Linked DNA regions of Kluyveromyces lactis. The protein of the gene in region 1 interacts with the protein of each later gene in a pairwise test. Links are inferred from orthologs where the notes say so. Each region holds a gene or a part of one and is shown on either strand. Other genes may lie near its edges. The genes, in order: URB1, DBP6 and ERB1.

Evidence for each region.
Region 2: the proteins of URB1 (region 1) and DBP6 interact in binary tests that used the Saccharomyces cerevisiae proteins (3 or more experiments, as listed by UniProt). The link is inferred for Kluyveromyces lactis from reciprocal best matches to the Saccharomyces cerevisiae genes URB1 and DBP6.
Region 3: the proteins of URB1 (region 1) and ERB1 interact in binary tests that used the Saccharomyces cerevisiae proteins (3 or more experiments, as listed by UniProt). The link is inferred for Kluyveromyces lactis from reciprocal best matches to the Saccharomyces cerevisiae genes URB1 and ERB1.

What each region holds. Positions count from the first base shown.
Region 1 is NC_006041.1:1,618,511-1,622,271, forward strand, and holds the start of URB1 (Urb1p), read right to left. Parts: upstream 2,401-3,761; coding exon 1-2,400. Other genes in the region: INA22 (Ina22p), read left to right, coding at 2,984-3,676. UniProt on the Saccharomyces cerevisiae protein: Required for 60S ribosomal subunit formation and pre-rRNA processing. Required for normal accumulation of 25S and 5.8S rRNAs.
Region 2 is NC_006042.1:665,346-668,642, reverse strand, and holds DBP6 (putative ATP-dependent RNA helicase DBP6), read left to right. Parts: upstream 1-780; coding exon 781-2,673; downstream 2,674-3,297. Other genes in the region: RSM19 (mitochondrial 37S ribosomal protein uS19m), read right to left, coding at 238-513; SRB8 (Srb8p), read left to right, coding at 3,005-3,297. UniProt on the Saccharomyces cerevisiae protein: ATP-binding RNA helicase involved in the biogenesis of 60S ribosomal subunits and is required for the normal formation of 25S and 5.8S rRNAs.
Region 3 is NC_006042.1:2,460,945-2,464,697, forward strand, and holds ERB1 (ribosome biogenesis protein ERB1), read left to right. Parts: upstream 1-931; coding exon 932-3,307; downstream 3,308-3,753. Other genes in the region: CSM3 (Csm3p), read right to left, coding at 3,434-3,753.

The DNA.
Region 1 (3,761 bases):
AATAATAGCAGCTACATCAAAAGAATTCACAGGGAATCTGCTCATTTTGCTTAACTTCGGGGAATATTGCAACAAAATGTGATCATAGCTAGAAGTTGAATCATTTGAAAACAAAAGGTATTCCGGAGATGATACTTTCTTAATGATCTCGTCAGTAAAGGATAAGTACAATTCGACAAGATTATGAGGTATACTTTCAACGTTAGAAAGTAGATTTCTAATACCTACTTCAGACTCTCCTAGCACCAGCATATTTCTGAAAAATATAAGTAACCACTTGACGATAACTGACTCTTTTGGGTTATCAATTTGGACAAATTTCCATTGTTCAACAAGTGTCAAAAGGAAAGGTGATAGATTCTCATATTGCCTTGCCATATCAACATACTTATACGGAGTCTTATGACATCTAGAAATGGCTTCATCCAATAGTTTCAAAATCTTCATGTGCTCCGAGGTGGAAAAAGAGGAACCAGTACTTGACAAAAGCGATAAACTATTAATTAAAGCTGAAATTGGAGAACTTATTAGCTCTTTCATCTTGAAAATATTACTGAACTGTACCAAATTGAATAGTAAATTCGATATTCTAGAAGTGACGATTGATGAAGCGTTTTTCGAAGATGCGAGCCTTAAAAGCGATGTGAATAGAGAGTTTTCGTTATTTGAGGCATTCCACCACTTGATTTGGGAGTTATTTAGTTCCTGGAACTTCATGAAATTATCAAGGATAACCAAATCCATTCCTGAAAATTGATCACTTTTCATAATATCAACATATATGTTGCTAGCTGGTAAATTGACGTTGAAGAAGTTTGGGAATATTTTACTATAGTAATTGAGGATAACGGTTAAGGACAAAGGTAAAATTTTGTTAGTTGGGGATTCCGTGTATAAGATATTCAAAACTGTCGTCAAAACGGGTAAATCTGGCAAGTACGAAAAATAAGCATTTAAGAGCATTGCCTTTGAATTATCCCATCCCTTTTCGTTGTACAAGTCCAGCACTTTATCCAATTTCTTCAATGAAAATACCAACAATTGACTTCCCATCTGTCTGATTAGATTTACTTTGTTTTGCAGACATTTCGTAAGAGCTGTTTTCGTTAAAGTAGAAGGAATAATCGACTCCACGACAATTGTTGTGGATGGAAGACTATCAGAATCTACTGTTTCGACGTATTCTGGAATGGGAAGATTGATCATTCTACCCAAAAACAATGTCATACCAAACCAATAAGCTGTCATCTTTGGGTCATGTGATCCCATAGATGACACGTACGTTGAGTAAGGAGCCACCAACTCTGGGACGTTACCTAAAATTTTTATGACTGTATTACATTGTGTATCATCTTCCCATGGCTTAAAAAATGTTAATGTGGTGTATAATAACTTGTTGTGTAACTTGAATACCTTCTGGTTAATTACCACAGGAACGCCTGACTTCAAGTTTGAACTATCCTCAAACCAAGAAGTTTTGTCGGTAAATACGACACCAAAGTCCGTATCGCCACCATAGATTTGAAAGAATTCATCTATCAAGGAAACAATGGCTTTATTTGGAGAATAGTAAAACTCATGCAACCTATTCACAACGAACTCATTTAAAATCTTACTCTTGGTCATCTTCCTAAAACTCGTTTCTTTTAGAATGCAATCAATAAATAGATGTAGAGATTCCTCGATAAGTTCAACAGAGTCCATTTTAACCATATTCTTAACCCACGCGGTCATAATTTTCTGATTGTCACTGAGAATATCCTTCCTTAGTACCGCCGGTGCGTTCTTAACTAGTGTTATCCAAAATTTAACGAAGTTGGACCTCATAGAGATGTGAGTTGATTTCCTAGTAGCTTCAATATCTGGGTTATCAAGCTTTCTTGGATTCAAAACCTTCAACAATGCTACCAACGTCAAATCGAAATATGACAAAAATTCATCAACGAACTGGCCTTTATTAAACTGTACAATCTCTGTCATTAACCCAAATACTGAATTCGTTATCGAAGGACGCAGATTATTGATACCTCTGTAAAGAACTTTACAGTAATTATTAAGTATATCACGGATAATAACGGATCCGTATTGCACAACACTGGTATTCGAATTCAAAATGGCAATTAGTTTTTTGAGCTTTATAGTAGTTTCAGCAAACTTAGCATGTTCATTCACCTGTGCATAATATGACCAACCTTGTGTGCATTGCACAGCAAGTCCCTTTTGGAAAAACTCAGCTACAGGGCGGTAATTATTGGAAACATCAACATTGAGTAAATCAATACCGTTGATAAGAATCTGCAGGTCATCAAATAAACCACTGCTCACATTACTAACACTTGGAAGGTTCTGTTTCCATTTCCTTTTTCTGGTCCCTAACATGGAGCCGTCGTCGTTATTCATAGCGCAAACACAATGTAGTTTCTGTTCAAAAAACGCTAGATATTAACGGCTTATATATATTACAATAAACCAGCACACTTTCTTGAAGTTTTAAAATGAACCAATGCTACTGTCTTACATAGATTTTAGTAAAACAAAGTGATGATTGTATATGCCCAATCGATGCGATGAGCTTGATCAACATTTTTTTCTTCCATTCTACGCTAAAAGAAACAAATTTTCCAAATATGACGGGGCGTCATGCGATTTTCACGTGACATAATTAATTAATAGTAACTTATCACCTTGCATATTCCCTCACCTGCTTGTAAGACAATCCATAGTCTTATATATGCTGCTTTAGATAGCTGGGATATGATACATGTAACAATAAGGTCACTCAAGGATAGATATTAGCGTTTATTGTTGCTTATTATGCAAATTATGTACTATTTTTACAAAAGATATAAACAATATCGGTTGACAGAATGAAAAGCTTGGAATTGATTAACATCGATGAGTTACTTCCAGAGTTCCAGAACAGCTTCGTCAAATCTTTAACTTTTCTTCGAAGTACATCGTTTAATTGGATCCACGAAGAGAGATGTTCGCACATAGGTTTTTGAAAGTCTCAAGAAGAGCGTATTCAGAAGTTGCAACCAATGCAACCAACGGCGCAAAGAAGTCCAGATTTGATAAGTCAGCTATTAAACCATTAATTTCACTATTGATATTCGGATCTGTGTTAACAAGTGTTTCAGCCCAACAGCAGAGACATGCTGATATGGTTAGAAGATATGAGATGAAGATTAAGATTCTACAGGATTTGATCGACCGTACGAAGCAAGGCGATTTCAATTACAATGCGGAGAAGGAACTAGAATTAGTTAACAAGCTATTCGCTCGTCATGAGCTGGGTAATTCTGTTGATTTGGAAAGAGAAGCTAAGATGATACGTGAACGTGCGGCCAAAGAGATTATTGATCGTGAAAGGGTAATAAAAGGCATGAATTCACAAATTGAAGAAGAATCACTGGAAGATATCTTTCAGGATATCATGAAAGATATCGATCAACCAAATAGCAGCATCGCAGCTCCGACGAAAAAATTAGATAGTGATTCTATGAAGAAGGGTTCTGACGATATTATTGTAGATAAGGAATGGCTAGATTATGAGAGACAAAGAGAACAGAAAAGATTAGCATTCAAACCTTCTACTGAGAAGCATGTTATCGTAGAGAACCCTGGTGAATACAACATCGCAGCAGAAGAAACTAAAGTCAAGAGATTTTTGTAGGGTGTGCCAACTAATATCTTTGTAATTGGTGAAAATTGTTCACTTCATTTACATGACTTCTAAATGAATATATATGTATATATAT
Region 2 (3,297 bases), on another chromosome or scaffold:
TATATTCTATTTTACTTCAATTATTATATATAGTACTCGTTATGATTAACATTTGCATCTATTTAACAATGAGAAACACCATTAACTCCCAATTAATCGAGAGCACTTGTTCAATAAATCATTTCTTAGTAATAGATACAGTTACGTATGGAGTACACGGTGGTACATGAACTTCCAGGTGTGATTTTATATACATGCTGCTGTCTGACTAACTTTGTGCTTTTCATAAATGTCAAATCATTTGTTCTTAGTTTGAGTATAACTGAATCTCTTTCTTGTTGGTACGAATTCTCCTAGCTTACTTCCTACCATATCTTCTGTCACTTCAAACGCGACATACTCCTTACCATTATGCACTTGGAATTTCAGTCCGACAAATTGAGGTAATATGGTGGCAGATCTGGCATTTGTTCTAATGGGCGTACCTTTGGCCAATGCTTCTTTTATTGGTAATGGGACTATATTTGGACCTTTCCATACAGAACGTGATAGTAATCTCAATGACGGGAACATTTTATGACGTTATGAGTGTTATCGTAGACGCGAGATATTTGTCTAACTGCTGGAACCTTTGGCTGACTGATATCATGGTAGTGACTTAACTCTATTATATCTTGTCGTTATTTCAAGTTTTACAGATTGAAATTTTTTATGAATTCCGTTCTGAAATAAAATAATAGACGAATGGCGATGAGATGTAATATGATGCGATGAGCTTCAGGAATTTAGAAGGTCAGTAACAGCATAGCGACAGCATAACGATAGCATCCAGTCAATAACATGTTTGCTGCAAGGTTTGATCCTACTAAGGTGACTGAAAATGTACTAACAGCTGAAGTCACACAAATAAAAGAACCCACTGTGCCCCAAAAGAGGAAAAGAGATGCGGAAACTGATGATGAAGGCTCTGGTGAGGACGATGCTTCCAGCAGTGAGGATGATGCTTCCAGCAGTGAGGATGATTCCGATACAATTAGTGAGCAAGATGAAAACAAGGTTGCATCTGTTGCGCCTACAGAAACTTCTCAGCAATCAGTTGATGCAAAGCACAGTTCCGTATTAAATAGATTTCAACAGACTCTTTCCCTGCAAGGTGCGTTGAGCGCTTCAGACAAGGTCAGTAGTGACAACGATGTACACGATGAGGACGTATCCATGAAAGATGTTCACAGTCTTACCCCAATTCCTCAACCGGCCAAAGTGACCAATGAAGCCTTGAAGCTTCTAGATCCGTCTACATATAAATCCACTGCGTGGGATGCAGCAACCAAAATTCATTACGATAGTAAAATGGTTAAACAATTCGATAGCTACGAAGGTGAATTAGATGCACGTCTGCTTAAAAATATTACCTCCAATTTCTCATCTGAAACGTTCCCTATTCAGACCATTCTATTCGATAAAGTGCTCCCGCTTCTAAACTCATCTTTTAAAGCAAACAGAAAACTTTTCACAAGACGAGTTGGTGATATATTAGTAAACGCATCAACTGGTTCCGGTAAGACCTTAGCATATTCTGTCCCTTTGGTTCAAATTTTGAGATCTAGAACAGTGAATAAAGTTAGGGCAATAATTTTGGTTCCTACTAAAATTTTAATTCATCAAGTCTACGATTGTCTCTCTAAACTAAGTCAAGGGACCAGTCTCAATGTATCAATGTCGAAACTCGAGAACTCCTTGAAAGAAGAACACAACAAATTTTTGTATAACTCTCCAGACATTCTAATCATCACTCCGGGCAGACTGGTCGATCACTTGCAGATGGAATCATTTGACCTAAAAACTTTGAAGTTCTTAGTCCTTGATGAAGCAGACCGACTATTAAATCAGTCATTCCAAAATTGGAACCAAGTGCTTTTCCACCATTTGACAAACGATAAGCAGGATAAACGTCCAGGAAACGTAATCAAAATGGTCTTTTCTGCTACTTTGACTACGAATGCAGAAAAGTTGTACAATTTGTATCTCCACAACCCCAAGATCTTCCTCACAGATTCTGTTAAATTATATTCAATACCTAAGAAATTGCAAGAACTCAATGTCAATATTCCTACTGCTAAGAGTCTGTTCAAGCCACTACTCTTACTAAGAATAATACACGACATCAAGAGCAGTGCTTCGAGAAACGCTAAAATATTAGTGTTTGTGAAGAGTAACGAAGCTTCGATCAGATTAGAAAGCTTATTACATGCCATGTTAGGATCAGGAATAATTGAAGATGAGTATAATATGTTCCTTTCATCAATTCATTCGAACATCTCGAAGGGTAGTAGCAGAAAACTAATACAGGAATTTGCATCCTCAGAACAAAAGAAATCAGTTTTAATTTCAACGGACATAATGGCTAGAGGTATCGATATAAATGAAATTACTCATGTGATAAACTATGATCTACCGATCTCCTCTCAACAATATGTTCATCGTTGTGGTAGAACTGCAAGGGCTAATACTGAGGGTATAGCAATTAACCTTCTAGTTGGTAAGGGTGAACAGAAATTCTGGTCACAACATATTGACACTGACCTCAGTCGTGACATTGATGGTTATCAACCATCTGCTTACCTTGACGAAGAAAAGTTGTCTGAATTATTCTCTATTGAAGACACTTTGAAGGATACGTACAAGGGTTGTATCAAACAACTCCAAACCAGCAAAGAAGCAGACAGTAAATAGCATATTATCACTAAATAAGTAAAAAGATCATAGTAACTGTACCCCATTCTTGGGGCTCGTCTAAGTGATATTTGAGAAGGCACTAATGATCTTATACTTACTATCTATTTTGCCTCTTCTGATGAGTTGATCATGTGACATGTTATTTATTGTTCGAGCAGTGTTTTTCCTCCACTTTAGAACTTTCTTTACCTTAAATTGATATGTGATTGATCGTTCAGAATCACTGAAACACTATAAACCTTCAAAGTACCTTAGGCAGGTTAAACTGTCTTAACTAGTGCTTGTTAACACATATAAGTAGTCAGAGAATAACCGCTAGATACTTCTGATGTCACCGTCAAAATATTTACTAACTCCTCCGGAGGAATTACATCCGCTCACCGACTCCAACCCACAAATCTATCCTGATTTTGATCCGTGGATTCACACCAAAGAGGAGGATAAGATACTTAAAGAGTTCGTGGCAAAAGGCTACTATACTGCTTCTAGGGTAAACTTTGAAACCATTTCTGCTCGTTCAGCTTTACAAGGATCACTTCCCAAAGTTTCCTCATTGTTAGGAGATGAATTATCCAAGATTATTGAGATACGAGAACAAGAAATTAATAGGATAAGTACACT
Region 3 (3,753 bases), on another chromosome or scaffold:
AGAGGTCATGTGAGCTAGCCAGCACACGGCAGAGTTCCAAGACGTCAGTGACTGGGCATATGGATCCTGTGGTATCCAGAAGGGATGGCCTAGATGGATCATAGACGGTCACGTGATGGTCTTGAGTGCGCGTGGAGGACGGTAGCTGCAGAGGACCTACAAGGGCATGGAGGCAATGAGTTGCCATGACGAAGTCTGACGACCATCCGAGTATATAAGTCGAGTATAAAAGGCTGAGCTATGTTGCGACCTCTTGGGGAGGTTGGACGCATATACTCAACGATCTAACTAAATAGATTATTATATTATATTCGTTATATTGTTTGATATCAACGATCCCTCATCAGGCGATTAATCAATCAACTATCATCCAAGGCATATCACAACAAGATCTGAGAGAACTACATGAGTATATGTTACATCGTTAAGAGTTTCTGAAGAAACGAAATAGGTCTCTCTTATCAGCGCCCCAAATTGGAATAATGAAGTTTACTGGAAATAGCTTCTTCAATGATGAAATTACAAACTTGAAAACGATGTTGCATCTACTAGAATAAAACTAAGATAACTGTCTATGATGCAAAAAAAATAAGAGTTAAGAATTACATTCATTGTAGGCTAGCGACCAAAGTAAATATCTTCAACGTAAGTAGAAGTATATGTGGAGTTGATTGAATACCAGTTCCCTATCTTTGCTGAAGGGTACTTTGACTTTTTCAAAATAGCATTCTTGTTCAAAACTTTGTAGAAGTAATTAATGTATCGTAATTTTCTTTCTTTTTGTTTCTTAAAATTTTCAATTTTCATCTTGAGAGATGAGATGAGATGAGCTGAAGTGAATAGACCACAGAGATAACCAGTACTTCTCAAAGTTAACGGCATCAGAAGAAGCTCTGAAAGTATAGAGAGCCAGAAAACAATACCAGAAACTATGGCCAGAAAGAATTCTTCTTTGAATGGTTCTGAATCAGCGGAGCTTGTTGTAAAAAAGAGAGTTCTCGAGGAATCTGAATTGTCCGATTCTGAAGATGAAAGAATTGAAGTTGATGGTTTAATCGATGAAGAGGCTAGCGAAAATGAAGCTGAGGAAGCTGAAGATGACGACTCTGATGCTGAATTCAATCGCTTATTAGCTGAAGAAGAAAATGGACAGGAGGAGGAGTATAATACTTCAGATTTTTCTGAAGAAGGCGATGCTTTTTCCATTACCGACAAATTGTCAAATGTAAAGTTAACAGTGATTCCAGAAACAAGCGATGAAGGCATTGTTCGTACCAAGTATTCAGATGGAAGACCAAGAATTCTTAAGTCAGAAATTAATCCTGTTTATGATAGTGATGATAGTGATGCAGAAGCTAAGAACACAATTGGTAACATCCCACTATCTGCATATGATGAAATGCCACATATTGGTTATGACATTAATGGTAAGAGAATAATGAGACCAGCCAAAGGATCTGCTTTAGATCAATTATTGGAATCTATAGAATTGCCAGAGGGTTGGACAGGTTTACTAGACAAAGACAGCGGTGCCTCTTTGAATTTGACCGAAGAAGAACTTGAATTAATCAATAAGTTGCAAAATAATCAACAGACGGACGAATCTGTGAATCCATACGAACCTTTAATCGACTGGTTCACTAGACACGAATCTGTAATGCCAGTTACGGCCGTCCCAGAACCGAAAAGACGTTTCGTTCCGTCAAAGCACGAAGCCAAGCGTGTGATGAAAATAGTCAAAGCAATCAGAGAAGGTAGAATTATCCCACCAAAGAAACTAAAGGAATTAAGAGAAAAAGAAGAACAAGACAGTCATAACTACGATCTCTGGGGAGATGCCGAAGAAATCTCTGAACATGTTATGAACTTGAGAGCCCCAAAATTGCCACCACCAACAAATGAGGAGTCTTACAACCCTCCGGAAGAGTATCTTTTGACCCCAGAGGAAATTGATGCATGGGAAAAGATGGAACCAAGTGAAAGAGAGAGAAATTTTGTGCCTCACAAATTCGCTGCATTAAGAAAAGTTCCAGGTTACTCTGAATCTGTCAGAGAAAGGTTTGAAAGATCATTAGATTTGTATTTAGCGCCTCGTGTTCGCAAAAATAAGTTGAACATTGATCCTGAATCTTTGATCCCAGAATTGCCCTCTACAAAAGATTTGAGACCATTTCCAATCCGTTGCTCTACCGTTTATGTCGGTCATAAAGGAAAAATTCGTACAATGTCCATTGATCCAACTGGATTATGGTTGGCTACTGGTTCCGATGATGGCACTGTCAGAGTATGGGAAATTCTTACAGGTAGAGAAGTTTACCAAGTCACAATACTTAATGCGGAAGAAAACAATGATGACCACATAGACGTTGTTGAATGGAATCCCGACAGTACTACCGGTATCCTTGCGGTTACTGCTGGCGAAAACATCTTCTTGCTTGTTCCACCAATTTTCGGCTTTGAAATTGAAAACACAGGTAAATCAAAGATTGAATACGGTTTTGGTTTCGATACTTTCGGAAACGTCAAAAAGAGTAATCTCAATGTGAATAGCGATGATGAGGATGACGGTGCTGAATCACATGCTGTCAAGAAACAGGTTGCTCAATGGAATAAACCAACCGAAAGGCAAGCTGCCAATGATATTTGTATCGTAATAACTTGTCGTAAATCAGTGAAAAAGCTTTCATGGCATAGAAAAGGTGATTACTTTGTCACTGTTCAACCAGACTCAGGTAATACATCAGTTTTGATTCATCAATTATCCAAGCATTTAACTCAATCGCCATTCAAAAAATCTAAGGGTATCATTATGGATGCAAAATTCCATCCATTCAAGCCACAGCTCTTGGTCTGTTCTCAAAGATACGTCAGAATTTATGACCTATCGCAACAAGTGCTAATCAAGAAACTTCTACCTGGTGCTCGTTGGTTATCTACTATTGATATTCACCCAAGAGGTGATAACTTAATTGCATCCTCGTTTGACAAGAGAGTGTTGTGGCATGATCTTGACCTTGCAAGCACTCCATATAAGACCTTGAGATACCATGAGAAGGCTGTAAGAAGCGTAAGTTTCCACAAGAAACTACCACTGTTTTGCTCAGCTGCGGATGATGGTAACATCCATGTTTTCCATGCCACGGTCTATGACGATTTAATGAAGAACCCTATGATCGTCCCGTTGAAGAAACTAACCGGCCACAAGATTGTGAATAGTTTAGGTGTTCTAGATACTATATGGCATCCACGTGAAGCTTGGCTATTCTCTGCAGGTGCCGACAAAACCGCTCGTTTGTGGACTACCTGATAGAACCCTCATGACGGGATATTTGTAAAACACTGTATACTATGGACATCATTACCTATCAATATTACAAGTAGATACTTTCTAATTAGTGTTCAAGGGAATACATTATTATCTTTGGATCAGAGCTCAAAAGGTATCCATGTCTCTCATCATTGCCATTTCCTCATCTGATGCGATATCATTACCGTTATTTGTTGTGCTGGCAACGGTCGTAATTTTACTCAATTCGTCTAACTCTTCAGCGTTAGGCAGAGCGTAGCCATTTTGTGTATGTTGCCGTATGTTTGTATCAGTGGTGGACAACATTTCATTCGTGTGCCGCTGGTGATGCGAAGAATATAGAACATCATCATCATCATCATCATCATCATCATCGTCATAGTTGCCGTCATTATTCTGATTTTTGTCTTTGTCTAGGCTGATAATTTTGGTGGCTTCATAACCAT